2 linked regions of the Sus scrofa genome follow. The protein of the gene in region 1 interacts with the protein of each later gene in a biochemical or structural test. Links are inferred from orthologs where the notes say so. Each region holds a gene or a part of one and is shown on either strand. Other genes may lie near its edges.

The links.
Region 2: the proteins of RAB11FIP3 (region 1) and ARF5 form a complex in vitro, tested with the Homo sapiens proteins (2 studies listed by BioGRID). The link is inferred for Sus scrofa from reciprocal best matches to the Homo sapiens genes RAB11FIP3 and ARF5.

The regions. Positions count from the first base shown.
Region 1 is NC_010445.4:41,278,851-41,288,558, reverse strand, and holds the start of RAB11FIP3 (rab11 family-interacting protein 3), read left to right. Parts: upstream 1-3,560; 5' UTR 3,561-3,575; coding exon 3,576-4,661; intron 4,662-9,708. UniProt on the Homo sapiens protein: Downstream effector molecule for Rab11 GTPase which is involved in endocytic trafficking, cytokinesis and intracellular ciliogenesis by participating in membrane delivery. Recruited by Rab11 to endosomes where it links Rab11 to dynein motor complex.
Region 2 is NC_010460.4:20,692,694-20,702,370, forward strand, and holds ARF5 (ADP-ribosylation factor 5), read right to left. Parts: upstream 5,943-9,677; 5' UTR 5,887-5,942; coding exon 5,820-5,886; intron 5,292-5,819; coding exon 5,211-5,291; intron 4,908-5,210; coding exon 4,798-4,907; intron 4,077-4,797; coding exon 4,005-4,076; intron 3,501-4,004; coding exon 3,375-3,500; intron 3,273-3,374; coding exon 3,186-3,272; 3' UTR 3,013-3,185; downstream 1-3,012. Other genes in the region: FSCN3 (fascin-3), read right to left, coding at 615-758; GCC1 (GRIP and coiled-coil domain-containing protein 1), read left to right, coding at 9,415-9,677.

The DNA.
Region 1 (9,708 bases):
TTGCTGTAGCTGTGGCTTGGATTCAATCCATGGCCCCGGCACTTCCATCTGTGGCCATAAAATTGAAAAATTAAATTCAAAGTGTTTAATTATGAAAATTATGAATTTGTTGTTGCTTTTTAGAGCTGCACTCACAGCATGTGGAGGTTCCCAGGCTAGGGGTCGAGTCAGAGCTGTAGCGGCCAGCCTACACCAGAGCCACAGCAACTCAGGATCTGAACTGTGTCTGCAACCTACACAACAGGTCACGGCAATGCCGGATCCTTAACCCACTGAGCAAGGGCACTGACCGAACCCGCAACCTCGTGGTTCTTAGTCGGATTCGTTAACCACTGCGCCATGATGGGAACTCCCGAAATTCTTAAACTTTCTGAAGAACCGTACCCACGTTCTCACCAGCCAGGTTTACCAGGTGTAGGTATTTTGTCCTGTCTGTCCCCAGTCCATCTGTCTTTTAAGGAAGTAAATGCTCAGGTCCTGCTCCCTTTCACCACTTTCCTCCTCTGTCGCCTCCTCCCCCTTCCCACTCTTGTTTTCGTATTTTTTACTGCAAATGAAGATGTTTAAAAACCATACCTGTATCGATGGTTCGTTTATTTATTCATTTGGCTCTGCCAGCGGCATGCAGACGCTCCCGGGCTGGGGATCGAACCCGTGCCAGACCAGCAGTGACAAGGCCGGATCCTTGACCCGCTGTTCCACTGGGGAACTCTGATGCAGTGTTTGTAAACTTTGCTAAGACGGCATTACACGGTCTCCGTTCCGGAGCTCGCTTTGCCACGCAGCTTGTCGCCATCAGCCCACGCAAATGGGCACCATGTCGGTTCATCCGCTGAGTCTGCTCATAATGTCCCACGCAGCAGCCTCTTCATGGAACTAGGAAAACCAATGCCGCCTCCAACATCCCTTTCCTGCCTCCGAGTGGATTTGATGGTGGAGAAGCAGAAATGCCGGGTAATGGAGTTCCTGTTGTGGCTCAGCAGTTAATGGACCTGACGAGGGTCCACGAGGATGCAGGTTCGATCCCTGGCCTAGCTCAGTGGGTTCAGGATCCGGCACTACCATGAGCTGTGGTGTAGGTCGCAGACACGCCTCAGATCCTGCGTGGCTGTGGCTGCGGTGTAGGCCGGCAGCTGTAGCTCCGATTAGACCCCTAGCCAGGGAACCTCCGTATGCTGCAGATGTGGCCCTAAAAACGACAACAAAGAAGTGCCCAGTAAGAATGAGGGGGACACGGCCCTCCAGGTGAATCATTCCTGTGAATGCTTGGTGGTATTGGCTTAAATTTTTACCACTTGATGTCCAATGCGAGCCTTGGTCATTCCCTTGGCTACCAGTGGGCTTAAGCATCTTTTTAACGTGTTTATTGGCCAATTGAGTCTCTGCCTGTGGAACTGCTTATTCATGTTTATTGCTCATTTTTCTACCGCATGATGTGCTTTCACTGTTCTTTGGAGAATTCTTGTGTATTGTGGAAATACATGCATTATCAGCTACATCTGTTTCAAATATCTCTTTCCAGTTGCTATGGGCTGAGTCACGTCCCCTCAAATTGATATGTTGAAGCCCTAACTCCCCCCAGTGCGATGTCACCCAACCAATCCTGGGTCTGCCCGCACGCCTGCAGCAAATCCACTTGACTGACTCCAGGTCGTGAGGAAGGAAAGGGCAGTGTTTACTGCAGGCGCCAAGCCAGGAGTCCAGGTGGCTGGGGCTCAAAGACCCAAGCCTCCCAAAGGCTTTCAGGAAAAGGCTTTTTTTTTTTTTGTCTTCTTTTTTTTGCTATTTCTTGGGCCGCCCCTGCGGCATATGGAGGTTCCCAGGCTAGGGGTTGAATCGGAGCTGTAGCCACCGGCCTACGCCAGAGCCACAGCAACTTGGGATCCGAGCCGCGTCTGCAACCGACACCACAGCTCACGGCAATGCCGGATCCTTAACCCACTGAGCAAGGGCAGGGACCGAACCCGCAACCTCATGGTTCCTAGTCGGATTCGTTAACCACTGCGCCACGACGGGAACTCCAGGAAAAGGCTTTTAAAGGCAGGGTGAGGGAGGGGGCACGTGATCAGCTCGAGGATATTCTGATGATTGACTGGTGGTGATGAAATCAAGTCAGCATCCTCAGGCTTCCGTTCCAGCTGGTCTGGGGACTAGGAGCTGGTGGGCTCCATATACTTAACTTCTTCACCTGGTGGGGTTTCAGCCTCTGCAAAACAGGTCTGAAGGGAGTTCCTGTCATGGCTCAGTGGTTAACGAATCCGACGAAGAATCCACGAGGTTTCGGGTTCGATCCCTGGCCTTGCTCAGTGGGTTAAGGATCCGGCGTTGCTGTGAGCTGTGGTGTGGGTTGCATCCTGAGTTGCTGTGGTTCTGGTGTAGGCTTGGCCTGCAGCTCCAATTAGACCCCTAGCCCGAGAACCTCCATATGATTCAGGGTAAGGCTGTAGAAAAGGCAAAAGGACAAAAAAAAAAAAAAACCCAAAAAAACAGCTCGGAAGATGATCTATCGGAGTTCCCCTTGTGGCTTAGGGGTATTGAACCCGACTACTGTCCATGAGGACGTGGGTTTGTAGGTGTGGCCCTAAAAAAAAAAAGTGATCTATAGCCCCCTTGAGGAGGAGCTAACTAAGGCTCCTTGACTGTTCTGTCTGTCTGCTGCTTGACTCTTTTCCTTTCTTTCTACATTTTTTTTTCACTTTTCTAATTAAATTTACTCTTTGGAACTCGGGGAAGGCCTAGGGGGCTAGTGTTTTCTAAAGACATGAGGAAGGCAGAGGACATAAGGAAAACAAGAAAAAGAAAACACAGGGATAATTTTTTTAAAAAATTATTTTTTTACTAAGGTATAATTTACACGCAGTGAAATTCATTCTCTGGTGATACAATTCTGTGAATTTTTTTTCTCTTTTTACAGTTGCACCCGTGGCATATGGAGGTTCCCAGACTAGGGGTCTAATTGGAGCTGCAGCATATGGAGGTTCCCAGACTAGGGGTCGAATCGGAGCTGTAGCCGCCGGCCTACGCCACAGCCACAGCAACGCGGGATCCGAGCCGCGTCTGCAACCTTGACACCGGATCCTTAACCCGCTGATCGAGGGCAGGGACCGAACCCGCAACCTCATGGTTTCTAGTCGGATGCGTTAACCACTGCGCCACGACGGGAACTCCTGTCCGAGATTTTTAAAAAAGGCCTCTGCGTTGGGCCACCCGTTCCTTGGGTCACAAGTGAGGGACCGCATGTTCAGGGCCCTTCCACACTCAGGCCGGGACTGCGAGCCACGGTTGCGGGAGGAGGATGTCACGCGCACTTCGCTCGCCCGGTTGGATCGCATCCGTTGCTTATCAATTTGAGGGAGCTCTTTATGCAGGCAAGACGCAGTCATCCGCGTTGCGTGTGGGGGTGCATGACGTCACGCCCGGGGTTGCTGCCTTCCAGCGCATTCGCCCCCTTTACACCCAGCCTCCCGGTGCCGCAGAGGAAGGGAGACCCACATACAGCCCCACAGCTTCGCAGCGCGGCTGCCTGCCTTTATAGCAGCCCGGCGAGGGGCGGAGCCAGATGGCGGCGCGACGTGATGACGTCAGGCCGACAGAGGGCGGGGCGAGGGCGGCGGCGTGAGCTCGGGTACCGCGGACACCTCCTCGTCCTCCTCAACCGTGTTCCCCTCAGCGTCCTCCTGCGCGCCGTCCTCCTGTTTAGGGTCCTGATTCTCCAGATCCCCCTCCTCGGCGACCCGCTCCTTAGCCTCCCCTCCTCGTCCTCACCCTCGGCTTCCTTGTGCCACCCGCCGCCGCCGCCGCCGCCGCCATGGGCCCGCGCCCGCCGCGCCGCAGGGCCGAGGACAGCTGAGGCGCGGCGCGAAGATGGGCGAGGGCGGAGCAGGGCCCGAGCGCCAGCCCGAGCAGCCCGGGCGCCCCGCGCGCGCCCGCCCGCGTCGCCGCGGGGATGCCCGCGCCCGCCGCCGCGCCCTGAGCGCCTTTGTCTGCCGCCCGCGCCGCCCGCCGTTCCACTGGCCTCGCGGGCCTGCGCCGCGGCCGGGGGCGCGCCCATGAAGATGGAGCCGGGCCGGCCGGCCTCCCCCTCGGGCGGCCCGGGCCCCGACCCAGACCCCGGCGGGCCCGGCGCGCCCTCCGCTCCCGCCCTCCACCTGGGGCTCGGCCCGCAAGACCCCGAAGCCGGCCCGGAGGCCGGACGGGGCCCGGGGCCGGAGCGGAGGCCTCAGCGCCTTGGCCGGGCCCCAGACCCGGACCCCGACTCCGATCCCGACCCCGACCCCGACCCCGACCCGCCGCTGTCGGAACTAGGCCCGCTTTATTCCTGGACCGCTGAGCCGGAGGGTGACGGCCCCCCAAGCTGCCCGCACAGCGCGACAGCCCGCGCGCAGGATTTCAGCCGCAGCCACCACCTGCGGGGCGAGGTCGACTTCTTCCCCCCCTTCCCCTCGCCCGAGGTCGGCGAGCCGGCGCTGGAGCTGGGTCCCGGGGACCCGGACCGGCCCTCGGACTTCAGCCAGACCCGCCCCTTAACGAGCGAGCCCGCGGGGTGTCCGGAGGACGCCCCCCGGCTCCGAGCCGTGTTCGAAGCCCTGGACGGGGATGGAGACGGCTTCGTCCGCATCGCGGACTTCGTCCAGTTCGCCACCGTCTACGGGGCAGAGCAGGTAACTCGCAGCGTGGGAGCCGGGCTCCGTGCGCGGGGGTCGCGGAGGGCACTTAAGGCCGGGGTCCGCGTCCTCTCGTGCTTGACTTCTGCCCTCACCTCTGGTCGAATTTCGCCGAAGCGCCTCTTTCCCCTTGAGAGAGGTTCTAATTCCGGGATTTAGTGTCTTCCCTGACGTCTCAGGCCACACAAGCTGGATATTTTCCTAAGTCGAGGGGAGCGCCTGGCCTGGGGACATGCCCCCAGGCTGCCCGATGGAAGTGCCCTCCGCAGACGTGCCCGCCGTTCCCCCAGCGGAGGGCCCAGGTCTGGTCGGGCTGAAGTAATTCGCTCCTTGGGTCTGCCACGGGGCACCTGGACGCTTAGGGATCATGTTCCAGACGTCTATTTTGAGCGCAGTTACTTTACTGTGTGTGGTTGGCATATGTTCTCCATAGACTCGTTGTTTGGGAGACGCCGAATGCCAAAAAATTTCACTGCTGTTCCTTCTGTGCAGAAGGGAAAGAGAGGAAGCCCAGAGGGAGGGGAATGAGCCTCGGAGCACCATGGTGCATGCAGACTTGAGGAAGCCTGAGCAGAACTGCCTCAGGGCCACCTCCTCGCCTGTGGGGCAGGTGTTGGGAAGGCACAGTGCAGTGGGGCAGGGGGTCCTGCCCAGCCCCCCGGGGCTGTGGCTGCGCTAGGAGGAGGTGGCCCTCACCCTCCAGTCCCTCCCTCCCAGCGCTTAGGAAAGTTTAGGTGGAGACAGCAGCAGGGCTGTGTGTGTTCTGGTATTAACCCAAATACATGCAAATTGATTACCGACGTTCACTTGTAATTTTTTTTATTTTTGCCTTTATTATTATTATTTTTTTTAGGGCCACACCGGCAGCATATGGAGGTTCCCAGGTTAGGGGTCACATCAGAGCTGCAGCTGCCAGCCACAGCCACATCAGATCCGAGCCACATGTGCAACCTACACCGCGGCTCGCAGCAACGCCGGATCCTTAACCCACTGAGCAAGGCCAGGGATCGAACCTGTGTCCTCATGGATGCTAGTCAGATTTGTTTCCACTGAGCCACGACAGGAACTCCTACTTGTAAATTTTTGACTTAGGAATAGGAAATTCCTAAAATGCTGATCTGCTAGTTTTTGTGTGTTGCTGACTTCTCACACTTGCGGACATTCGTAAAGTGGCTGTTCAAGCGTGGATACATGTTTAAGCCCAGAGGTCTTTAAGAGGCATCATTGACACCCTGCTTTTCAGAGCATCCGTCATCACGTTAAGAGCCTGTACAAGGGATCCGGGTGCCCGTGAGTGTTGACAGTGTCCATTGAGCTGTTGGGTGCAGAACCGGCTTGCCTGAGCTCAGGTTCCTTGTTGAGGTCCCGGCCTGGGAAGATGTGCATGTGGCAGTGGGCCTGCATGTCGGCGTTGGGTCTGTGGGACGCCCTGCTTTAGCTCTGGGTTGGAAGATCTTGCTTGAGATTGGGTTTCCCATCTCTTAGTCTGACGGACGGAGAGATACACAACTGATAATATCCTGTGTGCTTAGCTTGGACCGAGATGGCTGCTCCAGGTGCTTTTGTTTGTTTTTTGTTTTTTTGTCCTTTTAGGGCTGCACCTGCCTGGAGGTTCCCAGGCTAGGGGTCGAATCGGAGCTGTAGCCACTGGCCTCCACCACAGCCACAGCAACACGGGCTCCGAGCCGCGTCTGCGACCTACACCACGGCTCACGGCAATGCCGGATCCTTCACCCGCTGAGTGAGGCCAGGGATCGAACCGGCAACCTCGTGGTTCCTAGTCGGATGCATTCCGCTGCGCCACGACCCTGGGAACTCCCTGGTCCAGTGTTTTGATGCCTTTCCTCCTTGCCCCTGGGCCGGGGGCGCTTGGGGGTCCTCGGTTGTTTTCTACTGGGGTGGTGGTAGTGCCCCGTGTCTTCGCCCCAAACACACCCTTCCTCGTTCCACCAGTCAAGGATGTTAAGGGAGAGACACATCTGTTCTTCCCTGCCGTGCTCTGCCTCTGATGGAGGCTCTACCTGTTTGTTTCTATTTTCACTGGATCATCCCCCTTTCTCTGAGCTGGTTGTAGGCAGACGGGAATCATCCCACTTTACAGGGAAGAGTCTGGAGGCCGGAGAGGTGAAGTAACTTTCCAAGACCTTCCAGACCGTCAGTGCTGGACAGTCCTCTGGCTCCGAATGTTTAGGTGGCTCTCCAGCTTCTTAGGTTGGGTGGCCCTAAGCCTTAACACGAAGATGCATCGCCTTCACTCCCACACGGTCCTGCTCACTTGAGAACCAGCCACCTCTTGTTGCAATGTTCACATTGGTATTGGTCCCGGTGGGAAAACCTTTGGGTTGCCATTTGGGGCTGAGGCTTTTGTAAATACAAAGTAGAAATGAGTCAACATTCTTTGTTCTGGTAGCTCCTGGTGGCATTTTCGGTTTGGGGGTGAGGCTGGGATGACTAAGGATTTGGGGGGTGGGCAAGCAAGGGAGGCCGGGCGGGCACTGCCCTCCTCTCTGCTCTCCCAGACTGCTCAGGAAGAAGCATGTGGGGCATGATCTGAGTACCGCACGTGGTGGGGGTGGGGGCGGGGGTGGCGGGGGTGGTGCTTTTTTTCCGTTTTTGGCTGCCCCTCGGCATATGGAGTTCCTGGCCAGGGATCCGATCCCAGCTGCAGTTGCGGTAATGCCAGATCCTTAACCCACTGTGCTGGGCCTGGGATCGAACCTGTGTCCTAGCACTCCAGAAATGCTGCCAGTCATGTTGCGCCACATCGGGAAGTCCTGAGCCCTGGGCTTGGACAGGCTTCCTGGGACGGTGGAGGAGCGCTTTTGTTTGGAGCAGATAATTAGCAGGGTTATTGGAAGGCTGGTTTGTGTGTCTGGGTGAGCTCTGATAGTCTTTGTTATGACTCCGTCTTGCTCTTTCGAGTCCGGGGTCAGAATACATTATAGAGGAGCAAAGAGAAGATTTTTTTTCTCTTTTGGTCTTTTTAGGGCCACCCCGTGGCATATGGAGCTTCCCAGGCTAGGTGGAATCGGAGCTGTAGTTGAGGCCTCACCCCAGCCATCGCCATGCCGGATCTTTAACCCAGGGACCCGAGCCACAGCAGTGACAGTGCTGGATCCTTAACCCACTGCACCACCAGGGCTCTCTGAGAAGAAATATTTTTGGATAGTGAAGTAGTTTAGAGAAAAATGAGGAATTCCACCTCATCATAAATATTTTCAATTAAAAAAAAATGTTTTGCCCATATATGAGAGTAGAGAGGAGTCTGCTACCCGCCCCCAAGTCATCACTCAGCGTGCACAGTCTTGGTTCATTTGTAACGTCCTACCCCTCATCCCCAGGTTGCTTTTTTTTTTTTTTAAATGATTTTTATTTTTCCACTATAGTTTGCTTACAGTGCTCTGTCAGTTTTCTGCTGTACGGCAAAATGACCCGGTCACACGTCCATGTGTACCTTCTTTTTCTCACCTTATCCTGCTCCGTCATCAGTGACTAGATACAGTTCCCAGTGCAGTACACAGCATCTCACTGCTCACCCGCCAGATTGCTTTTGAAGCACGTACCTGCCATATCATTTTGCCCATAAATATTTCAGTGTGTATCTCCAAAGATAAGAATTTGCTTTTAAACATTCATGGTTTCTTTTTTTTTTGTCTCTTCAGCTATTTCTTGGGCCGCTCCCGCGGCATATGGAGGTTCCCAGGCTAGGGGTCACATCGGAGCTGCAGCCACCGGCCTACGCCAGAGCCACAGCAACTTGGGATCCAAGCCGCGCCTGCAACTTACACCACAGCTCACGGCAACGCCGGATCGTTAACCCACTGAGCAAGGGCAGGGACCGAACCCGCAACCTCATGGTTCCCAGTCGGATTCATTAACCACTGCGCCACGACGGGAACGACCATGATTTCTTTTAAGCCCTAGGAACAGTTTGGCTAAGCTGCACAACAGCAATCAGAACCGTAAGTTTTTGCACTTTCCACCTTGAGATTTCAAACTTCCGAGTGCATGAAAGTGGTAGCCTGGGCATGCTCCTGTCTTGATGGAAACAGCCGGAGTGCCCTGATGACCGGCACGTTTTCAGTGTCTTTTGTGTCATCTGTTTACGAAGGAAGTGTTTTAACGTCTTAAAATGGATGGCCTGGATCTTTAACCCGGGCAGTTGCCATTCGTGATCCAGATGGCTGTGGGGTCCGTCTTTCTTCAGCAGCGTCGTGGGGTGTCTGGCTCCCGTTGCCTCTTCTGGAGACAGAGCAGGTGTGGTTTAGTGTAACAGAGTTGGCAGACACTGAAAGGAGAAAGGGGGCGACGGTGGAGCTTTCTAGTCGTATTTTCTTGAACAGGAGTGTGCAGTTGGATGTGTCCAGGCACTCGTTGGCTGTGAGGCGGGGATAGGTTATCCTTTTTTTTTTTCCTTTTTTGGTGGGTGGTGTGCAGCTTGATGTGGGGTCTCAGTTCCCAAGCCAGGGGGAACTGGGCTGCGCTGGCGAAAGCTCCATTTCATCACCGGTAGACACCAGGGACCTTCTGGAATGGGTTGTCTTTAAGTCCTCGACTTGCTTTGAAGTTTGCTCATGGACTCGACCCCTGCCTCCTGAGAGGACTGGTGTTTCTGTAGTCTGCACCAACTTTTCATAGAGCAGAAGCTGTAAATAAATCACAAGAGTGATCGTGCGAAAGGATTGGTTTCTTTGGGTGTTATTTTCCAAGGGAGTTCATTGTAATTTTAAAGGTTATTGTCACATGTCATGGTAACACTCTCTCAGGCATTTCCATTGTAACATCCCCGGTCCTTTGCGGAGAACCCTGCATGTCAGAGCAGTGACTGCCCTTCAGCAACCTTGTGGGTCGTGTCTGTCCGCCGTGGGACTTGTGTGAGGCCGTGCGGTGCCCAGACGGTCTCCCGCTTTTCATTCCTCTGCTGGGGGCACTGGGAACTCCTCAGAGGCGCTTGGCTGCCCCCTTTCCTTCAGTGCCCTTTGCAGTTTCTGTCCTGGCCCAGGATTTGTGTGTGTGTGTGTGCGTGTGAAAGAGGGAATGCGTG
Region 2 (9,677 bases), on another chromosome or scaffold:
GGCAGGAGAAACACAAGACCTCTTTACAGGCAGGCTGGGGCTCCAGGGATGAAGATGGGAGCAGAGAAAGTGGAGATGCAGTTGCCTGTTTCAGTTGTCATCAACCCTGTTATAGGCAAGGGCCTTGCAACTGCCTCTCTCTGAAGCATCAGCCTAGAGGTGCCTACAACACTCTCTAAAGTGAAGGCTAATTCTCCCAGGGCTTCTAGAGTGCCCCATTTTCAAACTAGAACCAGAACCGTAACAAGGAACTTGCAGTAACTCCATGGGTCCAACTTCCCCTGGATGCCCACGATTCTGCCTTCCAGCCTGGGCTCTCTGCCTCTCCTTTAGGTGATAACACAACCACGCTGAGCTGGGATCGAGGCTAGGGAGCAGCCAGGGCAAGACGAGGCCACGAAGCCAGGCCTGAGGCTTTACCTCGTGGAATAGTTTTAAAGAGGAGGACATGGAGCAGCGCAGACCTGTGAGCAAAAGCCTGGCTTGCCCTGCCAATGGCAGAGGCTAGTCAAGAGATTAGGTTGCAAGTGCATCCCCACCACACACACACACACACACACACACACAGCCTGGCCACTGGGAAAAATGGTTCTAGCACAGGTGTGCTTCGTTACCTGTCTCCGGCCCAAACCCTTGGCAGTAGCAGTGACCGTGTTCTTATATGTCTCAAAAGTGAGGTAGGATCCTGCCCAGCTGATGAGCCCAACCCTTAGGTCCTCTGCCCTGGCTGGTCTTGGCGTCCACTCCGCCTCATCCATGCGGCCGGTGCCACAGGAGATGTCTCTGTCCGGCCCAGCCTTCCCCCCAGGGGTGAGGTTCCACAGGCCATAGGGCCTGGAATCAGGCCTTTGGTACCCACCAGAAGACGTTCCCAGAGGGAACTTCTCAGGCAGAGGCTGGCCTAGGGCCCAGCGCCTCTGTGACCCGGGAGCATTGTGACTGTGAGGGCTGCCGCTGATCCCACCACAGAGGGGAAGGGGCACTGGCCCAGCAGCATCGACCCACGCCCCAGAGGAGGTGGGCTTGGGCCTCTGGCATTAGCCTCCCCGCATCACTCCAGGCATCGAGGTAGCTGAGTTAAGACTGGAAATCAGAACTCCAGCCCCTGCCTGTGACTTCAGGCAAGTCCCTCCCCTTCTTCCTTCTGTTTCTCATTTTAATCCCAGGGTTGAAATCCGCCTCTTTCCTCCCTGGGGCTGTCAAGCAAGTGTTTGTTTTTTTAACTTTTTTTTTTTTTTTTTTTTTTTTTTTTGCCACATTATGCAGCAGAATCTCCTTTCCCAGAACAGGGACTGAACCCAGGGTGAAGCCATGAGAGGTCTGAATCCTAACCACTAGGCCACCAGGGAACTCTCCAGAGCTCAAGCGTTTTTAGAGTTCAAGATAGCCAGGAAAAATCTATTAACTTTTATGGCCCTTGTGAGGATAAGGCCGAAAATGTCTCAGAAGGTACCTTTCAGGGAGTGTGAGGAAACCCTAGATAACCCGCAAGGATCAGGTTACTCATTTAATCCACAGGGGCTGACTCTGGAGCAGGGTAAGGAGAACAGCGTAGGTGGGGGGCGCACAGAGCACCCTCCTCGTGGTCCCCAGTTGCACTACTGCTGGGCAGCCAGCCAGGGCTGCTGCTAAGGATACCAGCCCTTCCCCCTCCAGAGAGCCTCTGTTGGCCAACAGCCTCTAGGACTCACTGCCTACAAAGCTCATGAAGAAAAGCAGCCCAGAGCCTGGAGAAAGGCAAGAAGAAATACTGACGGTGATGGTGGGTTTTGTTTAAGCTTTGCTAGGATGCAAACTGAAAGGGGCAGAGCGAACTGCACTTGGCAAACAGCCCACACTGGGGTCCCCCACACACATTTTCCTACTCCCCATAGGTGGGGTCTCCCCAGGTAGAAAGAGCTCGAGTGGTGCACAGTGAGGGATCCCCAAAGCCTCACCAATGTTTTATAAAATAAGGCTTAGACTTCACGTGGCGGAAACATCTAAGATGCATTATTCTTGGACCTCTGACCAGTCCTGATGAATCGTATTTTCTGAAGTGTGCCTCAGGACTCTTATTATTATTTTTGGCCTCAGCCGTGGTATATGGAAGTTCCTGGGCCAGGGTTAGAATCTGAACCACAGCTGTGGCAATGCCAGATCCTTTACCCACCGCGCTGGGTCTGGGATAGAACCCGAGTAGTCAGAGAGACAACGCTGGATCCTTGACCCGCTGCGCCACAGCACAAACCCCATCAGGACCCTATAACCATTTCCTCCTCCTCAGATTTGATTATGCACAGACCTCACTAAGAGCCACTGCTCTAAGTCGCTGGGAGACAGATGGGAAACAGGAGTTTTGCGGTTTATGGGACCATGAAGGTAGAGCTTGTTAGCCTCAGCAAAGGCCACAGAGAATTGGGGAGGGAATGAGATTTCTTTCACTGGAGCCCCTAAACGACTTCCAGCCTCAAGAATAAGAAGGGAGATGGAGTTCTCCTGTGCTGTAGCAGGTTCAGGATCTGGGTTGTCACTGCAGCAGTTTGGGTCGCTGCTGTGCTTGGGTTCGATCTCTGGCCCAGGAACTTCCAGAGGCTGCGGGCGTGGCCAAAAAAACAAAAAAGAAAAAGGAGGGAGACGTGGAACTAGAGGAGGGCAGCGATGAGTGTGCACGTGTGTGTGTGTGTTTGGGGTAGGGCACGGGGGTTGGTCCTGCAGCCTTAGCAGCTTTGAGCCTCCCACTGATTGGCTCTTTGCAGCCAATAACCCAGGCCCCCACTTCTAGGTGACAGACAACACCATGTACAAACCACAGCAAATTTATTACTTGATATCCAGTGCCACGTCATAGCACCACCCGGAGCCCTCACTTTCCCCTCCCACCTGGCCCCAAGGGTACACTCGAAATGGAAAAAACAAAAGTCAACCCAGATCCCTGCTCCTCCTCTGGAAGAAGGGGCCTTGGCCCCCGAAGCCCCTTTCCGTGGGTCCCAGAAGGCAAGAGAGCAGACCCCTCCGTGCCCAGAGAGCGGGGGCTCCAGGCTCCAACAACAGAGAGAACATGCAGGCAGGAGCAGGCGCAGAGGCCTGTGTCTGCGGGGGAGGAGGAGCTGGGAGGGAAGGGCACTGCCTGAGGAGTCCGGGAGTCTGGTCGTCCCGGGGTGCACGCGGGAGCTTCCGGGCAGCAGGGGCTGGCCTGTGGTTGGCTAGCGCTTCGACAGCTCATGGGACAGCCAGTCCAGCCCATCGTACAAGCCTGTGCCTTGTGTGGCACAGGTGGCCTGGACGTACCACTGTGGGGAGAAGGAAAGAAACAGGTCAGAAGCAGGGAAGAAAGGCGATGCCTTTCCTTCCTGCCCAGCCTGGGGCTCCCCCGAGCAGACGCAGGTCCTCACCGTGCGGCTGCGCAAGTGCTGCAGCCCCAGCTTGTCGGTCAGCTCGCTCACGGGCATGGCGTTGGGCATGTCCTGCTTGTTGGCAAACACCAGCAGCACCGCATCGCGCAGCTCGTCTTCCTGCAACTGAGAGAAGGCAGAGGCGATGGCATCTGAGGGGGGTCTCTGGGGGCCCCCAGGCTCCCTTTTCCCAGCTGCATATGGGAATCCTGCTTTCTATCTTCTAGTCTATTTGCAGGGAAAACAGAACATTGTGTCATCTATGGCTGAACACAGGACACAAATTATAAATCAGCTTGGCCTTAGATCCAGAAAAGGCCTTTTTTGAGAGTACCCTTCCAGTTAAAAATGTCAAAGTCATCCACAGGGAAAAAAACAAGAACGTAAGATGATGCTTCTCTCCACCACCTACAATTCCCCTCCCTCTACCGGCTTCTCAGACTCAGAAGGGAAGACATGAGAGAATTCCAGGAAAAAGTCAAGTCTCACACTTTTTACCCGGGCCCAATTCAAAGTGGGGAGGCACTACTTCTTGGGAGTGTGTCCACAAAGCGGAACCCACATTCAAGGCCCGTGAGGCATTTCTATCTGTCACACCGGCACAGAAATGTGGGCGCTCTGAGTGCTCACCATCTTCTGGAGTTCATCGGCAGATTCCTGGACCCGCTCTCGGTCATTACTGTCCACCACGAAGATGAGGCCCTGGGTGGGAAGAAGAAAGGAAAGAGGAGCAATCACTCACGCCTGGGACATCCACACCCTAGTCTGGCTCCTCCTCTCTTCTGCCCTCTGACCCTGCTTTTAACTTTTTAGGGCCGCACCTGTGGCATATGGAGGTTCCCAGCCTAGGGGGCAAATCAGAGCTGCAGTTTCTAGCCTACGCCGCAGCCACAGCAACCTGGGATCTGAGCCGCACCTGCGACCTACACCACAGCTCACAGAAACGCCGGCTCCTTAACCCACAGAGTGAGGCCAGGGATGGAACCCGCAACCTCATGGATGCTAGGTGCAACCTCATGGATGCTAGTCGGGTTCGTTAACCACTGAGCTATGAAGGGAACTCCTCCATGTCCATCTTTAATGGTGTCTAAACCCTTCTCATCTAGTAAACTTACACAGTGGCTCTGGAGACGTCCTAGCACAAACTGGAGACACTCTGCTAGGATACGGCCTCTGCCCTCAGCCAAGGGGACCGGCTGAATGATGTGCACCGGGACAAGGAAAGACATGGGATGGGAGCGGAGTGAGGCAGCCTGGATTCAGAATTCTGCTTCTCAAGAGACTGAGGCCATTTCTGAAGAATAAGGAGAGGCTAGTCTACACAAGGGGGTAGAAGGGGGTAAGAGGTTTTTTTTGGCCTAGGCCAACACCTCCATCTTCCTACCCCTAACACCTCTTCCACTGGGGTTGGGGGAGCCCCAACCTGAGTGTTCTGGAAGTAGTGCCGCCACAGAGGCCGAATCTTGTCCTGGCCTCCCACGTCCCAGACTGTGAAACAGATGTTCTTGTATTCCACTGTTTCCACATTGAAGCCTGCAGATAATTGGAAAAAAATATGAGGAAAAAGTCCTGAAAGGGAGGAACTCACCAAAACGATGTGGTTTCAGCAGGGACCCCAAGCCAGAAGGCACCGAGGGGCGGGGCTCGGTCACATCCATCCCGCCTGGGCACCATCCTGCATGAAAAGATACCGTGACCCACTTCTCAGGTAGCAGCATCTGATGTCACGGTCAGCTCTCTGGGGCCGAGATAAGGGCCTCGGCAGAATGCGGAGCAGATCCTGAGGAGGCCCTCCCGCCGCGCTCCCGCTCCTCCCCACCGCGCCTCCGGACTCACCTATGGTGGGGATGGTGGTGACAATCTCCCCCAACTTCAGTTTGTACAGGATTGTGGTCTTGCCAGCTGCATCCAAGCCAACTGCAAAGGAGAAGGGCACCGGGATGGAGATGGGAGCAAGGGAGCCCCCTAGAGCCCAGGGAAGGGGACGGGCCAGGACAGCTGATGGTGACGGGGGCGGAGAGCCGAGCACCTCCAGGTGCGCGCTGTTCTCTACCTTCGCGGCCTTGAGCGCAGTCTGGGGGGTGGGCGCCAAGTCCAGCCCTCAGAGCGCGCGAGGGGCGGTAGAAGACTGAGGGGTAAGAGGTGCCAGAGGAGGGTCGTGCTCCTTTTAAAAGTCGTCTCCAAGGACGGAATCCTCCCTTCTTACCAGCCGGGCTGGGGCGGAGGAGGGAGCTTCACTCCACCCAGGCCCGCAGCTCCCGGTCCCAGGCCCCAGGAGCGCTGCTGCAGATCCCGACCCACCCGAGAGTAGTGGTCCCGGGGAGTTAGGCCGGGGGTGACTCGGGGTCAGAGACCCGGGTGAGCAGGGCTGGAGGGACGCGGGGGCAGGAGAGCTGCGTGGGGGCCGGCGCTCCCCGTCCAGGCCGAGCGCTTTATCTGCCTCACCCATGAGGATCCGCATCTGCTTCTTCCCGAAGATCCGCGAAAAGAGCGCGGACACCGTGAGGCCCATGGCGGGGCCTGGGGGAGGGGGCGCGGGGACGGACGCGGGGTGCGGGCTGGAACTGGCCGGCCGCTGGGGGATGGGCGCAGCAGCAGGAGGAGGAGGTGCCGCCGCCGCCTCCGCGCGTCCCGGCCCGCCCTACGTCACCTCGGGCCCGCCCCCGCCATGGCCCCGCCCCCAACACAGCCCTCAGCCCCGCCCCCGCCCCGCCTCCAGGCCCTGGCCCTGGGAGACCCTGAAGCTGACCGTCTTGCGAGCCTCTGGTTCGGCGCTGGCTTTAGAGATGGAAAAGGTCTGGGCCTTCCCCCTGTTTCTGGCGTGCCTGTAAGATCTGTGGCTGCTGAATCCGCAACCCGGGCAGGATCAAGGAAAGCCTCCAAAGCTCCATAACGGCCCTCCATCCCCATCCTCACTGGCTGACCGCTGGGCTTTGGTTTGGTCCGTCCAATCCACTCTAGGCTCCGATTTAGCTCTTGGTAATGAGTGCCTCGACTTTGTGCACCCTCCCTCTCCCAACCCCCCCCCCCCCACGCCCCGAAGCGGCAGTTCCGCGCAGGTGTCTTAGTCCTTCCTTTTGTCTTCTCAGTTCCCAGTCAGGGACTTTGAACGTGGCAGGTGCTTCAGTGACCTTAGAATCTCTAGAGGAATGCGCCAGAGGTGAAAGAAGATGCCCTTCATGGTTTCTTAAAACGCCTGCAGCAGAACCAGTGGAGGATCTCCAGTTCTAGGCGGTGGGGTAGTAGATACTACTCCTGCATACTGGAGAATTCTGCCTTGCCTCGATGGCCCTGGAAACAATGCCTTTCAATCGAACCAGGCAACCTTTCTGAAGCTCCTTCCTCAGTTTGAAAAGCGGAACCTGGATTTATTATTTTTTTTGGGGGGGGGTCTTTTTAGGGCCGCACCGGCGGCATGGAAGTCGAATCAAAGCTACAGCTGCAGGCCCATGCCACAGCCACAGCAACGCCAGATGGAGCTCTGTCTTCGACCTGTACCACAGCTCACAGCAACGTCGGATCCCGAGCGAGGCCAGGGATCCAACCTGCGTCCTCATGGATGCTAGTCAGATTCGTTTCTGTTGAGCCACGAAGGGAACTCCAACCTGCACCTTTAATGCATAGCTAGCTAGCATTTTGTAAGGCTGAAGAGCTTCATGAGCTATTTTCCCACTCACCTTAGCATCTGAGGGGAAATAGCAAGATAGGAATTAATTTAAATTTCTTTTATGGTGGAGACTGGGTCACCTAATATATGCTTAACAAATGCTGGCTGGATTGAATGGACTAACTGATTGCTCAGTGGAGCATGGACAGGTGTTTTTGCCTGTTCTGGATTCCCTTTGGGCTTCTAGAATCAATCCCTATGGACTGGACATGGTGAGGTGAGCTGGGAATCAGAGAACGTTCCTTCCTTCCTTCACTCATTAAACAAATATTTATTGAGTGCCATTGTTCCATGCCTCAGTTTGAATCTCAGTTCTGCATTTTTTTTTTTTGAGGGCTTAAATTCAACAATACTCACAACCTGTCATTTTCTCATCTATAAAAGGAGACTATCTGTCCCAAGTTACAGTGAAGAATGAGATGATAAGATAATGTACCTGAATTTTTGTTTGATGCAGCTGGATATTATCTGGGCCACCAAGAAACTGGGTCTGACCAGATTTCTAGTATCGGGCCCATCCTGACCCTCAGTCTGTAAAGAGAACAGATGTTAGGCACCAGGAATGAGTGAGTACCTGACTCTTTTTTACTCTGCATTCCTAAGAAGGCTTTTACAAGGTTGAAGAGCACATTTCAAAGAATCCAAATATAACAACACAGCTACTGGTGACCAAGTCAGATCAGTTCTACATCTTTAGCTCTTTTAATTAGCCTCTTTCATCCTTGTTGTCACTGCTCTATTTCACTACCATCTTATCCCCATGACTGAAAATAGCCTTCTATACCTCGGTTTCTCCACCTTGTCATACAAGATTTGATGATGCCACTCTTGTGATGAAAATCCTTTAGTGTCTTATTACCCAAGATAAAATCCAAATGCCTTAATTTGGGTCCTCATCTACTCTGCCAGCCCCATCTGTTGCCACCTCCTTCACAAAACCTAAGCTACTGCCTTGAAATGCTTCCCAGTGCTTCCCCGGGAGGACCCAGGCTCTCTGATGCCCTAGGAGTCCTTGTACGTTTTCCTCTCTGCCTGGAATGCTTCCCTCCTCTCCGGTTAGATGGGCAATCAGTATTCATCATTCAAATCTCAAAATAGTTCCCCTGAGAGGCTTGTCTCCTCTAAACAGGCCTCGCTCCTCTTAACTTCCATACCCCTTTGCATATAATTGTGTTTGCACATCTGGTTTCTCTCTAGATATGGGTTCCCTGAGGGCAAGACCTTCTCTCTCTCTCTTTTTTAAAATATATAATGATTTTTATTTCTTTTTCATTATAGCTGGTTTACAGTGTTCAAGACCTTATCTCTTCAAGGTGATCATCTAGCACAGCATTTGATATGTGGCGAGTGGGACTGATCTTGATAGGATTCTAAACTTACTGGCTGTGTGTGACTTTGGGAGTGTCACTTAACCTCTCTGTGCTTCAAGTTTCTCTATAAAATAGTGCTAATAATACCCATTCAGCAGAATTACTATAAAGACTAAACAGCAAAATTCCTGTGATCTTCCTGCAATATATTTGGCACTTAGGATGGACAGCGTGGCTATATATATTTCTCTCTGTTGAATAACCTCAGAACTCAGGAAGGATGCTAATAATTATTATACTGTACGCCTACTGGGTTCCAAATACTGTCCTCGAAAGGGTTGCCATTTTCATGGTCTAAATGGGAGTCTTAACTGTTGCTCTTTAGGGGCAAAAGTATTGAGCCCCCAAACATCGTCGTTTACCCGGGTTTTTGGTAAGGACGCGGTGCGACGTCGTCCTGGTCCCTCGCTAGGGCAAAATCAGGCGCCCTCACCAAACCAACATCACTCCTGGGTACCCGATTTTACTTGCTCTGCTCTAGCCAGGAGCAAACAGCTGGAGGCCCAGCTGAACGGCCTCCAGACCGCCGGCTGAACTAACCCCGCCCACCTCGCGCTCACTGGGGGCGGGGTCTGATGCGTCACGCTGTCGTCACTTCCAGCCGGACCCGGAAGCGCTGTTGACTCGTGGCTAGAGTTAGGAAGTCGGGATGCGGCTAAGCTCAGCTTAAACCGTCGGCTCCTGGTGCCGGCGGGGCACGGAGCGGCTCTGGAACAGTGGGGCCGAGCCCTGGCAGTGTGTTCCTCTGGTGAGCTTTGGCAGTCTGTTCCTCTAGGATAGGACCAGCCCCCACCCTCTTGTCAGGGATCTGGCGGACGCTTCTGCCTGGCTGCCCCGCCGCGCCCCACATTCGGTGTCGAACAGCTGTGAGGAGCAGATGTGCGGCCGGGGCGGGGGGGGGTGGGCAGTTCTCTCCCTGTCGCTCACAGCCCCCGCCAACATCTTCGTGACCCTCTCCCAGCCTGTCCGAACGCTGTCGTAGAGCAAGCCGTCCTGAACCGTCATGGAGAAGTTTGGGATGAATTTCGGGGGCGGCCCGAGCAAGAGGGACCTGCTGGAGACCATTGAGACGCAGAAGAAGCAGCTCCTCCAGTACCAGGCACGTCTCAAGGATGTAGTCCGCGCCTATAAAAGCCTGCTGAAAGAGAAAGAGGCGCTGGAGGCCAGCATTAAGGTGCTGTCGGTATCCCACGAGGCGGATGTGGGCCTTGCAGGTGTCCAGCCCCAAAGCCTCACCTTTCCCGACTCTGTGGATGATCGATGCTC